Linked DNA regions of Daphnia pulex. The main gene of each other region encodes a partner of the protein of the gene in region 3 in a complex. Links are inferred from orthologs where the notes say so. Each region holds a gene or a part of one and is shown on either strand. Other genes may lie near its edges. The genes, in order: exosome complex exonuclease RRP44-like, exosome complex component RRP46-like, exosome component 10-like and exosome complex component RRP4-like.

What was found.
Region 1: exosome component 10-like (region 3) and exosome complex exonuclease RRP44-like share a complex: the UniProt entries of both Caenorhabditis elegans proteins name them as parts of the RNA exosome complex. The link is inferred for Daphnia pulex from reciprocal best matches to the Caenorhabditis elegans genes crn-3 and dis-3.
Region 2: exosome component 10-like (region 3) and exosome complex component RRP46-like share a complex: the UniProt entries of both Caenorhabditis elegans proteins name them as parts of the RNA exosome complex. The link is inferred for Daphnia pulex from reciprocal best matches to the Caenorhabditis elegans genes crn-3 and crn-5.
Region 4: exosome component 10-like (region 3) and exosome complex component RRP4-like share a complex: the UniProt entries of both Caenorhabditis elegans proteins name them as parts of the RNA exosome complex. The link is inferred for Daphnia pulex from reciprocal best matches to the Caenorhabditis elegans genes crn-3 and exos-2.

The regions. Positions count from the first base shown.
Region 1 is NC_060019.1:10,637,834-10,642,347, forward strand, and holds the start of exosome complex exonuclease RRP44-like, read right to left. Parts: upstream 2,971-4,514; 5' UTR 2,856-2,970; coding exon 2,816-2,855; intron 2,759-2,815; coding exon 2,577-2,758; intron 2,519-2,576; coding exon 2,361-2,518; intron 2,300-2,360; coding exon 2,094-2,299; intron 2,032-2,093; coding exon 1,851-2,031; intron 1,786-1,850; coding exon 1,664-1,785; intron 1,610-1,663; coding exon 1,550-1,609; intron 1,490-1,549; coding exon 1,421-1,489; intron 1,356-1,420; coding exon 1,090-1,355; intron 1,022-1,089; coding exon 1,003-1,021; intron 922-1,002; coding exon 657-921; intron 598-656; coding exon 292-597; intron 226-291; coding exon 1-225. Other genes in the region: 26S proteasome non-ATPase regulatory subunit 13-like, read left to right, coding at 3,104-3,315, 3,380-3,706, 3,780-3,894, 3,949-4,137, 4,198-4,395, 4,455-4,514. UniProt on the Caenorhabditis elegans protein: Putative catalytic component of the RNA exosome complex which has 3'->5' exoribonuclease activity and participates in a multitude of cellular RNA processing and degradation events. Has both 3'-5' exonuclease and endonuclease activities.
Region 2 is NC_060020.1:3,912,520-3,915,731, reverse strand, and holds exosome complex component RRP46-like, read right to left. Parts: upstream 1,666-3,212; 5' UTR 1,517-1,665; coding exon 1,429-1,516; intron 1,340-1,428; coding exon 1,226-1,339; intron 1,165-1,225; coding exon 1,043-1,164; intron 977-1,042; coding exon 836-976; intron 754-835; coding exon 562-753; 3' UTR 528-561; downstream 1-527. Other genes in the region: serine/threonine-protein kinase D1-like, read left to right, coding at 2,576-2,707. UniProt on the Caenorhabditis elegans protein: Non-catalytic component of the RNA exosome complex which has 3'->5' exoribonuclease activity and participates in a multitude of cellular RNA processing and degradation events. Involved in apoptotic DNA degradation.
Region 3 is NC_060022.1:1,682,305-1,686,761, forward strand, and holds the start of exosome component 10-like, read right to left. Parts: upstream 2,884-4,457; 5' UTR 2,701-2,883; coding exon 2,650-2,700; intron 2,579-2,649; coding exon 2,442-2,578; intron 2,379-2,441; coding exon 2,267-2,378; intron 2,207-2,266; coding exon 2,096-2,206; intron 2,028-2,095; coding exon 1,659-2,027; intron 1,590-1,658; coding exon 1,446-1,589; intron 1,387-1,445; coding exon 1-1,386. Other genes in the region: transmembrane protein 98-like, read left to right, coding at 3,300-3,469, 3,539-3,800, 3,914-4,105, 4,214-4,312. UniProt on the Caenorhabditis elegans protein: Catalytic component of the RNA exosome complex which has 3'->5' exoribonuclease activity and participates in a multitude of cellular RNA processing and degradation events. Involved in apoptotic DNA degradation.
Region 4 is NC_060023.1:8,701,226-8,704,734, reverse strand, and holds exosome complex component RRP4-like, read left to right. Parts: upstream 1-1,493; 5' UTR 1,494-1,607; coding exon 1,608-1,726; intron 1,727-1,786; coding exon 1,787-2,024; intron 2,025-2,084; coding exon 2,085-2,219; intron 2,220-2,277; coding exon 2,278-2,448; intron 2,449-2,513; coding exon 2,514-2,648; intron 2,649-2,710; coding exon 2,711-2,791; 3' UTR 2,792-2,824; downstream 2,825-3,509. Other genes in the region: CDP-diacylglycerol--glycerol-3-phosphate 3-phosphatidyltransferase, mitochondrial-like, read right to left, coding at 22-927, 992-1,255; uncharacterized protein LOC124197887, read right to left, coding at 3,421-3,509. UniProt on the Caenorhabditis elegans protein: Non-catalytic component of the RNA exosome complex which has 3'->5' exoribonuclease activity and participates in a multitude of cellular RNA processing and degradation events. Involved in regulation of antisense ribosomal siRNA production.

The DNA.
Region 1 (4,514 bases), on a different chromosome or scaffold from region 3:
AAAAAAGGTTCAAAATTTGATGCAGGGGGTACCGGATGACGACGGAGAACAGCGCACTCGGGGAAGTGCTTGAAAATGTGATCAGCCACTGAAATATTAGCCAACAACATGAACTCTTCTACCATACTATTGGTGTCCAGCATTGGTTTTGAAATTACATCAATAGGGTCGTTTGTCTCAGTGCTGACCTCAAACCTAATCTCAGGGCTTGATAACTGCAACGCACTTAAATAAATTTAAGGTTAAACAACAAGAACTGTTGCGTCATTCCAACACTTTCTTTGTACATACCCTTTGTCCATACGGTTTTTCTTCAATATTTTAGCCAATTTATTTAACCCACGAAGGCTTTTGGCCAATTCATTTTGTTGAAGTGAATCATCAATGTTGCACTGAGCTTCCGCATAGGTGAAAGCTCGACGAGATCGTATCACACTTTTCGTAAAACGAGTTTTTTGAATTTCAGCATCTGCAGTCACTTGCCAAATAACAGAAAATGCGAGTCGTTCTTGATCCGGCCTCAAAGAACAGAGATTTGAACTTAAAAGTTCAGGGACCATGTCGATACGGCGGTCAACAAGGTAAACGGTTGTTCCTCTGCCAAAGTAATACACATGAAAATATAGCTGACAGTATTTCCACATGAAATGCAATACCTGTTGGCAGCTTCTTTATCAAGTGCAGTATCTGGCCTGACGAAATGTGAAACATCCGCAATATGAACTCCAATTTCATATAGATTCGGTGACAATTCTCTGAAATGGAGAGCGTCGTCGATATCTGTACACCCCGGTGGATCAACACTGCAAATATCTAAGTGGCGCAAGTCTTCGCGACGTTTCACTTCCTCTTCCGTTATCATCCATGGCATCGTAGGCAAACAAGCCAACACTGTTTCTGGGAAGCTATGGTGCGGCACATCTAGATAACGAAATAATCGAATAATGACGTTCACAAGGATCTAGTTTAGATTATGAAAAGAAGAGTAACAGTAACAATTACCATGCTCCAACAAAAGAACCTAGAGAAAAAAAGAAATGAAACCAGCTTAGAATAAGAAAAATTTGCAAATCCCGTATAAATTGTCACCTCATTTTCAGTGTCTTTGTCGCCGATGTTACCCAAAGCACGAACGAAATGACCGAGTGGATATCTTGAAGTACGAGGCCATGAATCGATCGCAACTATTATTTTTTGCGTAGACAACGTTACAGCTTGGCGAGTTTCAATGCGAATTTTCGGAATTTTCCTTTCAGCCGGAACGAAAAGGTGGCGAGTCCCTTCTGGAAGAACACTGGGAAGCAATATTCCGCAATATTGGCGCCATTTACGACGAATAATTCCAACGATTTTACCTATAAATTAAACAGTCAAATAACTGATAAGAAAAAGCGAATGAGTGGAAATCTACTCTGCTAACCAGTTGGTTGGCGATCCTTGCTTTTCGTGCTATCAATCAATAATTTTTCTTCTTTCTCAATTTCATCACCTATAAAGTAAAAATTAATAAGGCAAATGAAATTGCGCATATTCTCGAAATGTATGTTACCAGGATCTTGCTCTTCTTGATCCTCCAAAACGATGCCGCTAGGGGATGTCCATTTGTCCTCTTAATAAAATATTATAAATCTGTTGAAGCAAATAAATTATTGATAAATCATACCCGGTAGCAATTCAACAGCGACAACATCACCGTCAACTGCGCGATTCAAACTGGCATGGCCTTGCAAGAGAATGGATTTATCTTGTCCTTCAACACTAACAGTTCCTTCCAAAAAATTTTCTCTGATGAGGGAAAGAAAAAGTGTTAAAGATTGTAGCATATATGTATATGTACCAGGCGAAATCACCTTGAAGAGTGGAAAACCCCTTGGAGTAGCTTTCCAGATTTAATTCCCGACATAATTCTGGTGGGAGCTAAATGCTCGGGATACAATGGTTCACGATTTTCGTTATTACTTTCGGAATGTGAGGCAGCTAGCTTTTCTTGAAGATCTGGAAAATCTTTCAAGCTCTTCACATACTCATCCACTGGAATTGAAAATCATAACATTTAGTCAACAAATAAAATGGTTTAAAATTGTGTTGTTTACCTTTATAAGTAGGGATCCCCTCATTACATGCTTGCTCTCTGTTCTTAAAATCCTGAGTCAACAAAACAACCTTGATCTGTTTTTTCTTGTCATTTCCTTTCTGGCTTTCTTCCAAGTGAGTTTGATACCAACTGCAAGCTTTTCGAATAGCTCTATCATTTCTGTCATTTGCACTTTCACCAGGCTTTCTTTCAACATAAGTATCTCTGTCAAATATAATGGTTAAAATACCTAGGGAATATTTAGAAATGCAGAAACAAAAGATACTTGTGATGTTCATTGACAAAAACATAAAAGCTGTCTTTTCTTGTCGCCATAATCTCTCTCAACTTTTTGTAATTATTTGTGCTACGCTTCCTGGTTTCTTCCAATACTGTTTGCAACAGGATAACATTTTTCCAAGCTGAACTCTCCAACACATCAATCTGTGCAACAACAAATCATTTTATAGCGTAATTCATCGTACAAATAAATGTTAAATACCTGATGTAGCACAATGTTGGTGTCAATCACAATATAATGAGGGAAGGCACAAAGTGTACTAGACGACACAGGAGACTTGTCTAGCACATCGCTGTTTTCTTGGCCGCATTTTTTACACAGCTCAGAACCACACCATAGGTCATCTCTAAGGTAATGCTCTCTGACTACTTTCAAAACCTTTCCTGGAATTTACAATGATGAGACAAAGATGGGCAGACATTTGTGTTCAAAGCATTTACCTCTTTTCGTTTTTCGTAAAAACACTTTACTTGTAAGCATGTTGCCTATTCAAATTTTCGTCTAAATTATTAATCCAGTTTGTTCCAACTTCTGTTAAATTCAACAACGTGCAGAAACAGAGCAGACGAAATTCAATTCGGCGGAAACCTGCTTCTTCTCTACTAGGTGACCTGGCAACATTGTTTCTTCATTTTTCTTGACAGAAAATTGAGTGAAAAAAATCGTCTCGTCATCCGAGTAGCGATTGTTTGAAGACGTGAATATTGACCGGTTCAATAGATTTCAGAATGAGGGACGTCGCGAAATATCTCAACTCTAAGCAAAATACCGTGGATCAAGACTTGGCAGCAGAATGGGCAAAACTTGAAAGTCTCTATAACAAAAAACTATGGCATCAGCTTACCATCGAGATGCTCGATTTCGTCAAACATCCGAGTCTTCAATCAAATAATGAACTTGTACAGCTATACGAAAATTTTGTGGCCGACTTTGAGAACAAGTAAGTTCCTTCTTTATCAAGTAATTTTTTTAAATGTTTTATTAATCATTTTTCTTGTGCCTAGAATTAATCTTCTGTCACTTACCGAGATATGTGCCATCATTGTGAAGCAAATGGGGACTGTGGAAGAGCGCTTAGCTTTTCTCAAGCAGCTTCAAGAAAAAGTGAAGGCTAACAAAGAAGCATTAGCTCTTTGTAAAGTCCTCAGTGGAGGCATTATTTTACATGAAAAAGGAGATCAAGTTGAAACTAAGAATATCATGGAAGAAATCGGCAAAATCCTTGATGATACAGATGGAGTGACTCCTGTTCATGGAAGATACTACTCTCTTTGTAGTGACTTTTACCGTATTTATGGCAAGCATGCAGATTTCTATCGTGCATCCTTGAGGTAGTAGAAGTTGTCATACAAACTTGATTTTCATTCTATTCATTATTTTCTTTATCTTTCATAACTTGAATAGGTACTTGGGTTGTATTGAACTCACAAGTTTAAGCAATGCTGAACAGAAGAGCCAAGCTTTTCACCTTGGTATTGCTGCCTTGCTTGGAGAAGGAATTTACAATCTTGGTGAACTGGTATGTTTATATGATAACATCTTTGTGAAATGTAGCTAACATATCGCAATGCAGTTGGCCCATCCTGTCTTGGAATCGTTGAAGGACCAGGAAGAGAGTTGGTTGGTTGACCTCTTATTCATAATGAATGCAGGAGATATTGCAGGATTCCACAAACTAAGATCGAAATGGTCTTCACAAGCAGATCTCGTCAACAATGAACGACTTGTGCTGCAGAAAATAACACTTTTAGCTCTGATGGAGGTATAGCAAGGTTTACTATTTTTTTTAAAGCAGTAAAAGTTGACATTTTCTTTTGTTTAGATGACTTTCAAACGCCCGGCCACCAAACGCAATTTGTCATTCAAGGACATTGCTGCCAGCACAGGAGCCAGGGAAGATGAAGTGGAGCTGCTAGTAATGAAAGCTCTTGCGCAAGGACTCTTGAAGGGTACAATTGATCAAGTTGATTCTATTGCGCATTTCACTTGGGTCCAACCTCGTGTTCTCGATAAGAAACAGGTATTTTGTTATGATTGGCATTTAGTTTTAGTAAGAAATTTGACATTTTTTCTTGCTAGCTGTCCTCGATGATGACCCGATTAGAGAATTGGTGTAAGGATATTGAATCGGTGGAGACT
Region 2 (3,212 bases), on a different chromosome or scaffold from region 3:
TGATACATGACTTAAATTTAGAATTGCTTTATTTGTGTTGACTTTGACTTGACAGCCTAATTGGCTAAACTTTCTAATTGAGAAAAACATTTCAAGGCCTATTACCGTAAAGGCTGAAATCGCACTCGATATATCCAGACCACCTTGAAATAAATTTTCAGAATAACCATAAAAGAAATTCCTTTATGCTACATTTTCCGACCGAATAAATCCTAAAAATGGTAGAACTACCTACCATATGTCATTCTAAGAAGAGTTTGTTTCAAAGTTAAGTTTATTTTTTTTCTGATTTCACAATCGGCACTTTTACTATACCTAAATAACTTGTGTCAAAATTGTACCGCATTGCATTGGAGCCAAGCTCCGGGCAGGAAACCTTCTAGATATAGTTTTGGTGAACGTGATTACTCGAGTATTGCTAGATGCGCATGACATATTAGGATGGATTGGTTTTCCGAAGAAATTTAACGATACTGGAAATAAGCAAGCCTATACTTATACAATTATACTTTGTTTTCAGTCGCATATACAAAACTTTAAAATGTGTATTTTTTGAAAGTTTTACAGAAGTTCGTTGGAAAACTTTCGTAGTACTGCTTGCCGGTAGAAATCAAAGATGACGTGACTGGCTTTCTGACACAGCTCCATGGCTTTTTGAAAAAGTTGATAGGGAACTTGGCCTTCACAGTGGCTCAGAATTAAGTTGTATTTTTGACTGTCAAAAGCAAAGGTAAACATTGCTTTATAACCTTCCTGTAATGGGGAAAAAAGTAAGTTAGGCACAACAACAAAAAATGGGGGAAAAAAATTAGTTAATTCTTAGTGGAAATCATACTTTGACTGTGCTGATGCATGGGTCTAGGACAATTCTATCCTTCTTGTCTACCAAACAAGTCACTGCAGCTACAAGACACTGCAGGGGTAAACCCGAGTCAAGAAGTGCAAGGCACACAGCATTGATGGAGGCTGCTAGCAACTAGTTTATGGAAAATGTGAACAACTAATTCTTGATCAAAATAAATTTGTTGTGGTAAGTGCTTACAGTTCCACCATCTTGCATTTCTTGAACTGTTATGCAGACAGCTGTTCGAGGGTGCAGGTTCGTCAAAATAATGTGATTACAAGTGGTCTTGATGAGTTTCTCCTTTCCACGCTCAGCAACACCTAAATAAAAATGCATTCAATATTACAGAAATAATAATACACAGGATAAGTTATTAATAACCTGGCATTCCTGTTTTTGGCTTGTAGTTTAGTTCAATGTACATTCTATCGGACAGTTCCTTTTGAATTTTAGCCTCCAAAGGTCCATAAACTGAAGCCATTACCACAGTATTCCCTGAAATGACAAGTCAATAAAATAAAATTTACCGACTTGGACAAAATAACACGAAAACAGCGTGGAAAAAGTTACAAATCTAAACTTACCTTGAGAAAACATCACCGAGCCATCTGCACGTGACAGTACGCTTTGTTCGCACTTTAAAGCACGAATGCTATTCTCTTCAGTCTCCATGGCGAATAATAATATTGCAAGCAATTCTTTGTGATTGAAAAAGTATTCAATAATTCAGATTAAGAACGCAGCCCTGTTTCTGCATAAGCAACGTGATCGTAAAAAATACATGGGGTTGACGGGTCGGCAACAGCAGTCTGCAGATGTCTCTAAGTTACCATGGCAACCATTTACTTAATCACACAAAATATAACTTTTAACTCCATGAATTTAAAACAACTATTATATTTGTAATAAAGAAGACCTGAAAAATTCACAATTTTCCAATGTAGCTATGAATATGTATTTTTCATGGATTTCGTTCGTTCAGTCACGAGAGAATGGCAACGCTGTTTTTGGCCAGAAAATTGTGAGCAAGCCAAAGACGGATCTCCGAGTAGCGACAGTATTTATTAGCTCGGCAGACTACCAAGTTATCGTGACTTGAGCTGCACGGTCAGAAACACACACACACACGTACGTGAGTCTGTTTCTGCATTTCTCGAGAGAACGTAAAGTGTGCTAGTGTGTGTGTGTGTGTGTGTGATGTTTATACGTGAATTTTTTGTGTGTGCCATCATGATTGGGAAACCTGCGTATTAATTGAATTTAGTTTGGGCATTTCCATTAGCCAGTCCCTCTTATTCGCACCGACTTTTTTCATCACCAACGTGTTATCACGCGTTGTGCTGCTCCCATCTGTGTTGGTTTTAAAACAGTCGTGTTGCTCAGTTTTGTCGTGCAATCAAGTGGAGGTAAAAACCCAACCTTTTTTCTTTGAAGAAGAAAGAAAAGGAAAAATCTAAGTGGTGCCAGGGCGGGAGAACGACGAAAGAAAAGGTGATCTCAGCCCGAGGCTATGTGACATTCCAATCAACCTGTTGGTTGCTGGAACCCGTTTTTTTTTTTTTTTTACTCCATTGCTCCCACCTGATTGCACACACACACACCAACCACACAGACTATTCCAACGAAAAAGGGCCAGTTTTGTGTGTGTGCGAATTTCACTGCCATCCAAAAGTCAAACTTCGCCATAATTGTGATTGTGTTTTTCATAAAATTTTGGATCCAAGCTCCATCATGGATGATGGTAATGGTCAGGTGACCTTTATGTTCCAAGTTGGACTGGTACGAGACTTTATCTCCACGGATGCCTCCCAGTTAACGCTGAAAACGCTCAAAGATTTGGCCTGCAACTTTATTAATCAACGGGTAAGTGTTTTTGAACATTACACGCCGATCCAATTACCTCCACGTCCATGCATCACTATACACCTGACAACGCCTTTATTGTAGTAACCAGAGAGCTTTTTTGTTTTGATTATATTACGTCATCACTGTCGTTGCTTAAGTGTGTTTGCCGTGTATATTTTTGCCTTTTAAGTTGCTAAGCTGTTGTATTCGGAATTTTTCTCCATATTTTCCCATCCACTTCCACTGGGAACTGTTGACACAATCCTGCTTTAAATGATCAATAAGGTTGGATGATTAGAAATAATCTCTTTTCAAGAGGGGGCCAATCGATTTCTTCAGCAGCCACGTTGCGATATTGGATTTAGGATGATTGAGATGGAAGGAAAAATGTCTTGTGCATTGACATGTCAAATATTTGATGAAACTCGTTCCTTTTCAAGCTTTTAGCTGTTGCTGACGTTTTCTGTGTTACTATCCAGGATTTTGGCGAATGAATCCTAGTCCCATCAGTTTGTTCACGCAA
Region 3 (4,457 bases):
ATTAGCCCCGCTGTCATTTCCTGCTTCTTTGCTCGCCGGTCGTTTTAATGATTTTTTCTTCATTCCTGGATTGGGGCTCTTGGATGTTGCTGGATTAGGGCTCTTGGATGCTGACGGCACTACTGCATCCGCCGACTTTTTCGATGGGGAGCTGGAGTTTGATGGAATTACAGATGTTTCAGGAGTAGCCGTTACTCGTTTAGTACTCCCTACTTTCTTCTTCTTCTTGTTAAGTCCCTGCGCTTTCAACGCCAACTTCTTTTTCTTCGCAGGAACTACTGCTACTGCTTCCGCCTCTTCTTCCATCGCTTCCGCTTCACGCTGGGCATCGGGTGTTGAATGCGCCACTTCTTCCATGAAATGTTGGCGCAACTTTTCGACACGTTGTGCTTCTGCGGCTTCTTCGGCCGACTTTAGAGCTCTGACACGAATATATCTCGTGTATGGAGAAACAAAATTAGTTGATACATTTGTCACGATGCCAGAATGAGCCGATTCGGCGAAGATTAGAGCTTGTGGGAACTCTTTTACAGTGACGCGGACTCCAAACTCCTCGGATCTTGACGCCATTGATTCGATCGTTTGCGGATTCAGCAGAGTGGGTAGGTCGTCTCGGATGTCCTGAGAATGTGTCAAGTCGTGCATACAATAAAGGGGGTCTTCGGTGTCTTGATCCAATGGAGTCGGCATCATTTTCGGGATGGCTAATGGCTGGCCGTGATGTTGTAGAGTGGCGAGAGGCATTTCTCTGGCTTTTAATATGATTCCATGGAGATGAAGTAAATGCTGACGAACGAGCGAAGGGATAGGTGAACAACAGGCAAGGATACCTTGCATCTCCTTAGGTAGAACATCGGCGATTTGTAACAACATGTGTTTGGGTAGAACAAAACCAGTGCTCTCGTCTTCTTCTCGAGCTATTCGATCGCGCCAAGCAAACAGTTCTTTTAATGCAAACAGCTGACGTTCGTTGAAAATCTTCTTGCTGAGCCTATACAATTCCAAGTGACTTTCGGCAGTGATAGGGGGAATTCTGTAACGTTTGAGACAAACCAGTCGGCTGTTTTGCCAAACTGCTGTCAGCAAATTATCTCCTGTTCCCTTCATCTTCAAATCCTTTTTCATCTTTTCGTAAATGTATCCTAGGTAGTGGGTATCTTCTCGAGCATAATTGACCATTTGCTCAGGCAAGGGACGAATTCGCCAATCGGCTAGCTGGTATTGTTTGTCAGCAATAACTTGGCAATAATGACGAAGGAGGAAGGACAAGGACAGCTGTGCAAAACCCAATAATTTGGCAGCGTGATAAGTGTCAAAAAGATTAACGACGTAGATACCGAAATCGCGCTGAAGCCACTGAATATCCATATCAGCTCCATGAAAAATCTAAACGAAAACCAACAAAATAAGTTTGTTACTTCTTCAATTAAACAGTTAGCTCATACCTTAACAATCTTTGGGTTGCAGAAAACTTCATTTAAAGGCTGTAGTTGATCCCATAGCTCTAAAGTGTCTATAATGTAGTCAGAACTGCTTGTTGAAATTTGCATTAAGCATGTTAGGCCTTGAAAGGATCTATATGAATGGGCCTGGCAATAAATAATTAAGGAACTTAATAAGGTTCACCAATTTAAAAACTGCTAGACAGTGAATAATACCTCCAGATCTACAGCAATCACAGTTTCCTCAAGCAAAACTTTCAAAAGACTTTTTAAACCTTCTTCAGTATCTATCATTACCAAAGGGATTTCTTGAACACTTGGGAATGGAGGCACTTCATCAAGTACGGTGAAGAACTTTGGATCCGGTGTAAAACGTTCCAATTCAAATTCGTACGGATGGCTAAACTCTTCATCGCCCAAGTCATTCAATTCTAATAGTATCGCCAGTGGTTTCAACGAATGAGGCTTATCTTTGATTTTGGGGATAAACGGTCCAGGTGAATTCTTGATTTTCTCTTTGAATTTCAACTGTGGTCTCAGAATGTTTTTAGCAGAAAGAAGTTTGTAAGAGGTTGCTGGTGAACTCTGTAAACAAGATGAATACTTTATAGATTCAGCATCTAAGACAACAATTGGTATGAAAAACTAGATACCACAGAATGCCGATTCCAACTGCCATTAATATTTGTAGTTTTTGCCATCATCTCAACAACTACAGTTTCTGCTTGTTTTTTTAATCCAGCAGCTTCATCTAGAGAAAGATTCTGAAACGAAAGCAGTTTTTTTTAACAGGTGTAAAATTCTAATAATTCCTAGTAGCATACTATTCGCTCCATCAAGATGTCATTGTTGTCCGACACCAGCTCCATCTGCTCTTCCAAATCCAATTTTCCCACCTTTCCTGTTAGTCCATAGTGTCCGTAAATTGTGGTCATCCTTGACAAATAAAAATTTTAGGATCAAACAAAATTCTTATACTTAACGGTAGCTGTAACTCACAAGTTAGTAATGCGACCACCAAATTCTTTCATTGCGCTGGCATATGCTGGATAACTTTGGTAGTAATCCCAGTCTGAACCACTACTTGGTAATTCATTAGAGTACTTTGTGACCTTCATTGCACTTTGAAATAATTTCTAAATAAACAGAGAAAATCAAGTTGTGACTGATATGAAATTTCAAAATGTTTGGCCAGCCAATGCTCTACCTGTTGAACCTCTTGGGCATTTCCATTCTTCTCACTTTCTTTTTCACTCATTTTAAAAATATTCTCTGATCATCAATTGCAACAAAATCTTATTGCGATTATTCACAGAAAACATTAAGCACGTGAATCGCCTTGTTTCAGTCTCGCCGTTGACCAAAGAATCATGCTTTCAGAATCCACTTGTCGTCTGCTACATTATGCATGTAATACACCGTTAGTTAAACAGTTGATTTATTTATTATTAAACTTAAAAAGGATCTATATTACTTAATTAATTGAATATCTATGAACAAGTAAAATATTTAGTAAATTTAGAATATTTTTCAACCCACGACTAAATATTTTTTATTCATTTGAAAATGCTATTGCGCTTTAAAATTCTGCCAAGGGCGTTATAAAAGTTCCCCGAAAATAACAAATCAACAAGTGCCTTGACCATCATTCTTTTCCATAAAATAATAACAATTTTAATCCCGCCGTAAAAATGTTTGCACTAGTTGTTTATTAACTTGGACTTTCGTTATTGAGTACTTATAAAGGTTCACTGTGTCATCCAAACTTGTCGTTTTTGCGAAGGTAACTAATATATGACAGACGCTTGAAACGATCGAAAGATTTTCTTATATTGCTTTCTTTTTCAGCACATAACAATGCACGCTGTTGTCGTTGTGACTGGAGGGATTTTGACTTCCGTATTCATTGCTGCTCTCCTTGCGCTATTGTTTATATGCAGATATAAACTATGTTGCTTTAATCTTGGTTCTAAATTTAAGAAGAAGGAACAAAGCCCACAAGTGCAGCAGAATGGATTCCATGTGAGGTAACTATCTCAAAAACGAACAAAGACTTCTTTCGCAGTTGGGAGTAATTTTGCTTTTGAATTTCCCAGTAGGTCTGATATTCATCTAATCAGTAGCCTAGAGATGGAAGATGAAGACTACATCATGGACAATATTGATCCTGAAGATTTAGTGATTCACCCTGACTTGGACAAAGTTCTAGAATCTCACAGATGGAAATGGGTGGACGATGCCCTTGGAATTGTTCCTCATTGCCTTCAGATTTTAAAAGGCTGTCACTTGATGAGTGAAAGGCTTGTGACTACAGCTATGGCTTCTACAGATCAACAGAGATTTGTTGAATTGGCAATGGTACAACTCTCATTATCTAAAAGAAAAATAATTGCATGCATTTCTGTTATGTTGGAATTCAGTTGTGACACTCCAAAGATTACTATGTGTCTGAAAGTTCTGTTGTGTTTTAGGTTGCAAAATCTGTCCTTCCATTAGTTGACGACGTCTTGCGTTCCATGTGCCCACCCATTCAACCACGCGATGTCGAAATCCGAGCCTTTGCCCTCTTGAATGCTGTCAACCGCTTGAGCAAACTCACCGAGCGAACATGCAATGTGTCGTGGCCATCAGCTATTTTCGAAGAGATGAATATGCATTACCAGGTAACGTGCATCTTTTAAATGCTACACGACTTGTTTGCTTGGAAACGCGAACTGGCTCTGAATGTTCTCGATACTATCTGCTTAACTTTTCATTAATTTGTACTGCAGAAACTCAAAGCCATCGCCCGGCGCTCTGAAACTCAATTATGGAACGAACGAAATCTTTACAGGGAAGGTGTGACCATAGTCGAATCATCCATGACTTGAAACACGAATAATCTCGAAAACCTTCGTAATCTCCGTCCAAAATATCACAACGTATCTTAACAAAATTAGCCTCACTAACCTAAATGCACAATGTTCGTTACAGTGGACTCATTATAACGTCTGACCAAGTAATGTACCTTTATTA
Region 4 (3,509 bases), on a different chromosome or scaffold from region 3:
TGAATGGTGATAGGGGCTTACCAGAGGATGTGCCATGAGAATGTGAACATTTGGCTGGGACGCTTCTAGCAAACTATCCATATAGTCCTGAGTCAGGTTGAAGTACCCGGTTGCTAGACATAATTCGGCGTTTGCCGGTACGTTTTCTAGAATCTCGCGCGTCAAGATGTTATCCATGTAAATGTTTAGCTGCCCCATCTGGACGAAAGGGAAGATCCAGGTGTCGTAAGCAGACGGATTCGGCCATTGAAATATCGAGGACGAAACATTTGCTTTTATTTGCTTTTCAAACAAGTTGTTGATTCTCCGTTTTGCTTCTTCTGTAAATTCAAGCCGATTGGATTCAAACGGATGGTGAGGAAAAGCGGAATTCAAGTTAAGGCAGTTGTTTTCACTTAAATGAAATGAAAACTGGCACACAGTTTCTACTAGTTGGTCAAAGAAATCCACTAAATCTTTGCAATCTTCCATAATTATGTATCGATCTTGCCGATTTGTGAAGTAATCGTGGCTTAAATTTGCGCCACTGATTAATAAGGAATCGTCAAATATGTAAATCTTCATATGTTGCAAGCCAATAATTTCATTCCATCTTTCTGGGAGAATTTTCTTTAATAATCCTCTAAGTGCTGGAGTGTGATAAAAATGGACTGAACACTGCTGGCTGTAGGACTGAACTAAGGGAAGCAGCATTGTACGGGAATTGAATTGGGCACCTCTAGAGCCTCTTGTTGCATCCAACAGAATTCGAACTTTCAGGCTGGAGCCAGAGTTTTTCTTCAAAGTACTTTCAATTGTTTTTACAAGCTCATTTTCATGATTTCCTGTTCCAAGATATAAGGATGCAAAAGTGACTCTTTGACTTGCTTGACTAGTCTTTTCAATAAGTGTTTTGTAGAAATCTTCAGGATCAGACAAAACTCGAACCTAAGAAAAAATTTTACAACTATTACTAGAAGACACTAATAAAATACCTTATTAGAACACTAACCTTATTTCCGTTCACAGGGAAACAAGGGGTTTTACTTCCGAGCCATCTGAAATTTTCAAGGGTCGTTAACAGTTCCGTTCTCTGCTGTTCATCACTGTCGGGTTCCATTTCGGGACGATGCTGGAGATGAAGTGATCTCGAGACAAGGTTACGTTGCCAACCTCTGCGAGCAGTCTTGGGAAGGAAGTGCCAAGATACTCGTTGTCGCCCAGCAACGCATATCGTTGTTGAAAAAAGTATTGCTTTTTGGCAAATTAGTGACATTTACTTGTACGGACGAATGAAATGAATCGGCATATAAACAAACAGACATCTGATGGCAAAAATTAATACTAATGTGATTCGCGCAATGTTTTATTTGATTCGTTAAAAAAATTTCAGTTGACTTTATATTTTCCATTTCGAACATAAGTTAATTAGTCGATTTAAATTGCACAATATCATTTTGACAAGAATATCCACAAATATTTATATTCTTAAATATTTTGATATCGCCATAGCTTAGGCAACGTAGCAGCATGGTATAGCAGAACACGATGAATTATTGTCATTTTCAAGTGTGCTGTTGTTTCCTTTTTTTTGAACTTGATACATTAGGATAATTAAAACCAAAAGAATGGTAGACATTCGCCTTGCTTCTGAAGTGCCTCCTTTTCATATCGTCGCTGATTCTACTGAACCCAAACATCTTGTCACACCTGGCTCTTTGATCACAAAGGAAACAGGATTCATGAGGTAGATTGTTAAAAGTTTTGCCATTTTCTTGATGATAATCTTATTTTATGTTTTGCTAAGGGGTCATGGAACATACATGCAAGATGACTGTTTGTACTCCAGTGTTGCTGGAGTTGTGGAGAGAGTCAACCAACTTATTTCAGTTAGACCCTTGAAATCTCGTTATCATGGGGAGATTGGAGATGTCGTAATTGGTAGGGTTACTGAGGTTTCACAGAAACGTTGGAAACTGGACACCAATGCAAGATTAGATTCAGTGCTTCTTCTTCAGTCAGTCAATTTGCCTGGTGGTGAACTCGTAAGAAAGACTTTTTATTTGTGCAATTACACAAATATTTATATCTCATAATGCTTTTAGAGAAGAAGATCAGCAGAAGATGAATTAGCCATGAGGCAATACCTGAAAGAAGGAGATTTGGTCAGTGCAGAGGTTCAAAACATCTTCAATGATGGAGCTCTTTCTTTACACACCCGCAGCATGAAATATGGAAAAGTATAACAATAAGTTATTTAAAATATTAACTGTAATAACAACCATTTATCTGTTATAGCTTTCCCAAGGTTGCCTAATAAAAGTTAGTCCATCTTTGATCCGAAGACAGAAGACTCATTTCCACAACTTGCCTTGCGGAGCAAGTATCATTATGGGTAACAATGGATTTGTTTGGATCTGCCCTACGCTCCTTGACGATGGCGCCGGTGGATTTGTTCAAAACTTGGAGGTGCGTACTAAAAAGTCGATGTTTGTACATTATCACGTGGAAGCTAATTCTGTTGAAACCTATAGACAGTTCCGCATGCCGATCGACAAGCTATAAGCCGGTTAAGGAATTGTGTGACAGCTTTGGCGCACTGCAAGATGATGATCTATGATACCAGCATTATGCATGCCTACGAAGCCTCCGTAAATGCTGGGCTTGAGGTAATTATTTTTACATTGAAACTAAATAATTCAATGCTAACTTATATAATGCTTTTATGTAGATCAAGGATCTTCTCCTACCGGACAAGATAAAAGAAATCGCTTTAATGGTTCGTAAGCAGTTCGAAATGGAAAAAGAATAATTTAATTTTCGAATAAACATGGCTCAGGCTGAACCAGAAGTTGACATTCGATTTCCCAAACATTAATGGTGTGGATCAGTTTATTCATACTGCAGACAAAGTTTTATTCTGGGGCAGGGAAAAACATAAACGAAGAAACATTCGATAATAAAGGCGGTTTTTTTTTGTTTCCAACTACAACCGGTTTCCCAAGAATATTAAAATTTTGTAGACTTCATTTATAAGTCATCCCCCCCACAAATCATATTTACATTAAAACAAGTGTGCTAGAGAAAACCAGGATAAGATCTGCCGTAAGCACCACTCAACAAAATGCCCTGGGCTAGTTTTGAAACACCTAAAAAGATTATATAGGATAATAAATTACTAATGGACCCCGTTCCCTAGGTCCACCAAGGAAGGAAAAAAAAAAGATTTAACCGGAAGTCATGTTAAAGCGCTGCTTTAACAAATCAAGCAAATAATAATTAACAAAAAAAAAAAATAATGATAAATAGAAACAATGAATATCTAGCGAAATTCCGTGACGACGAATGGATAACGATTATGTTTAGGAGGGCTTCACGATTGGAAAATGTCCCGTGTTTTTAGATATTAGGATTCCACCTTGATTAGATGGGTTTGTAATCTTAGACGCTCTTGTCGGGTCCCAACCAGCGGCGCATGAGGAAGTAGAACACGGTGCAGATGTACAGTAATAAGAGAAGAGCGCATGTGA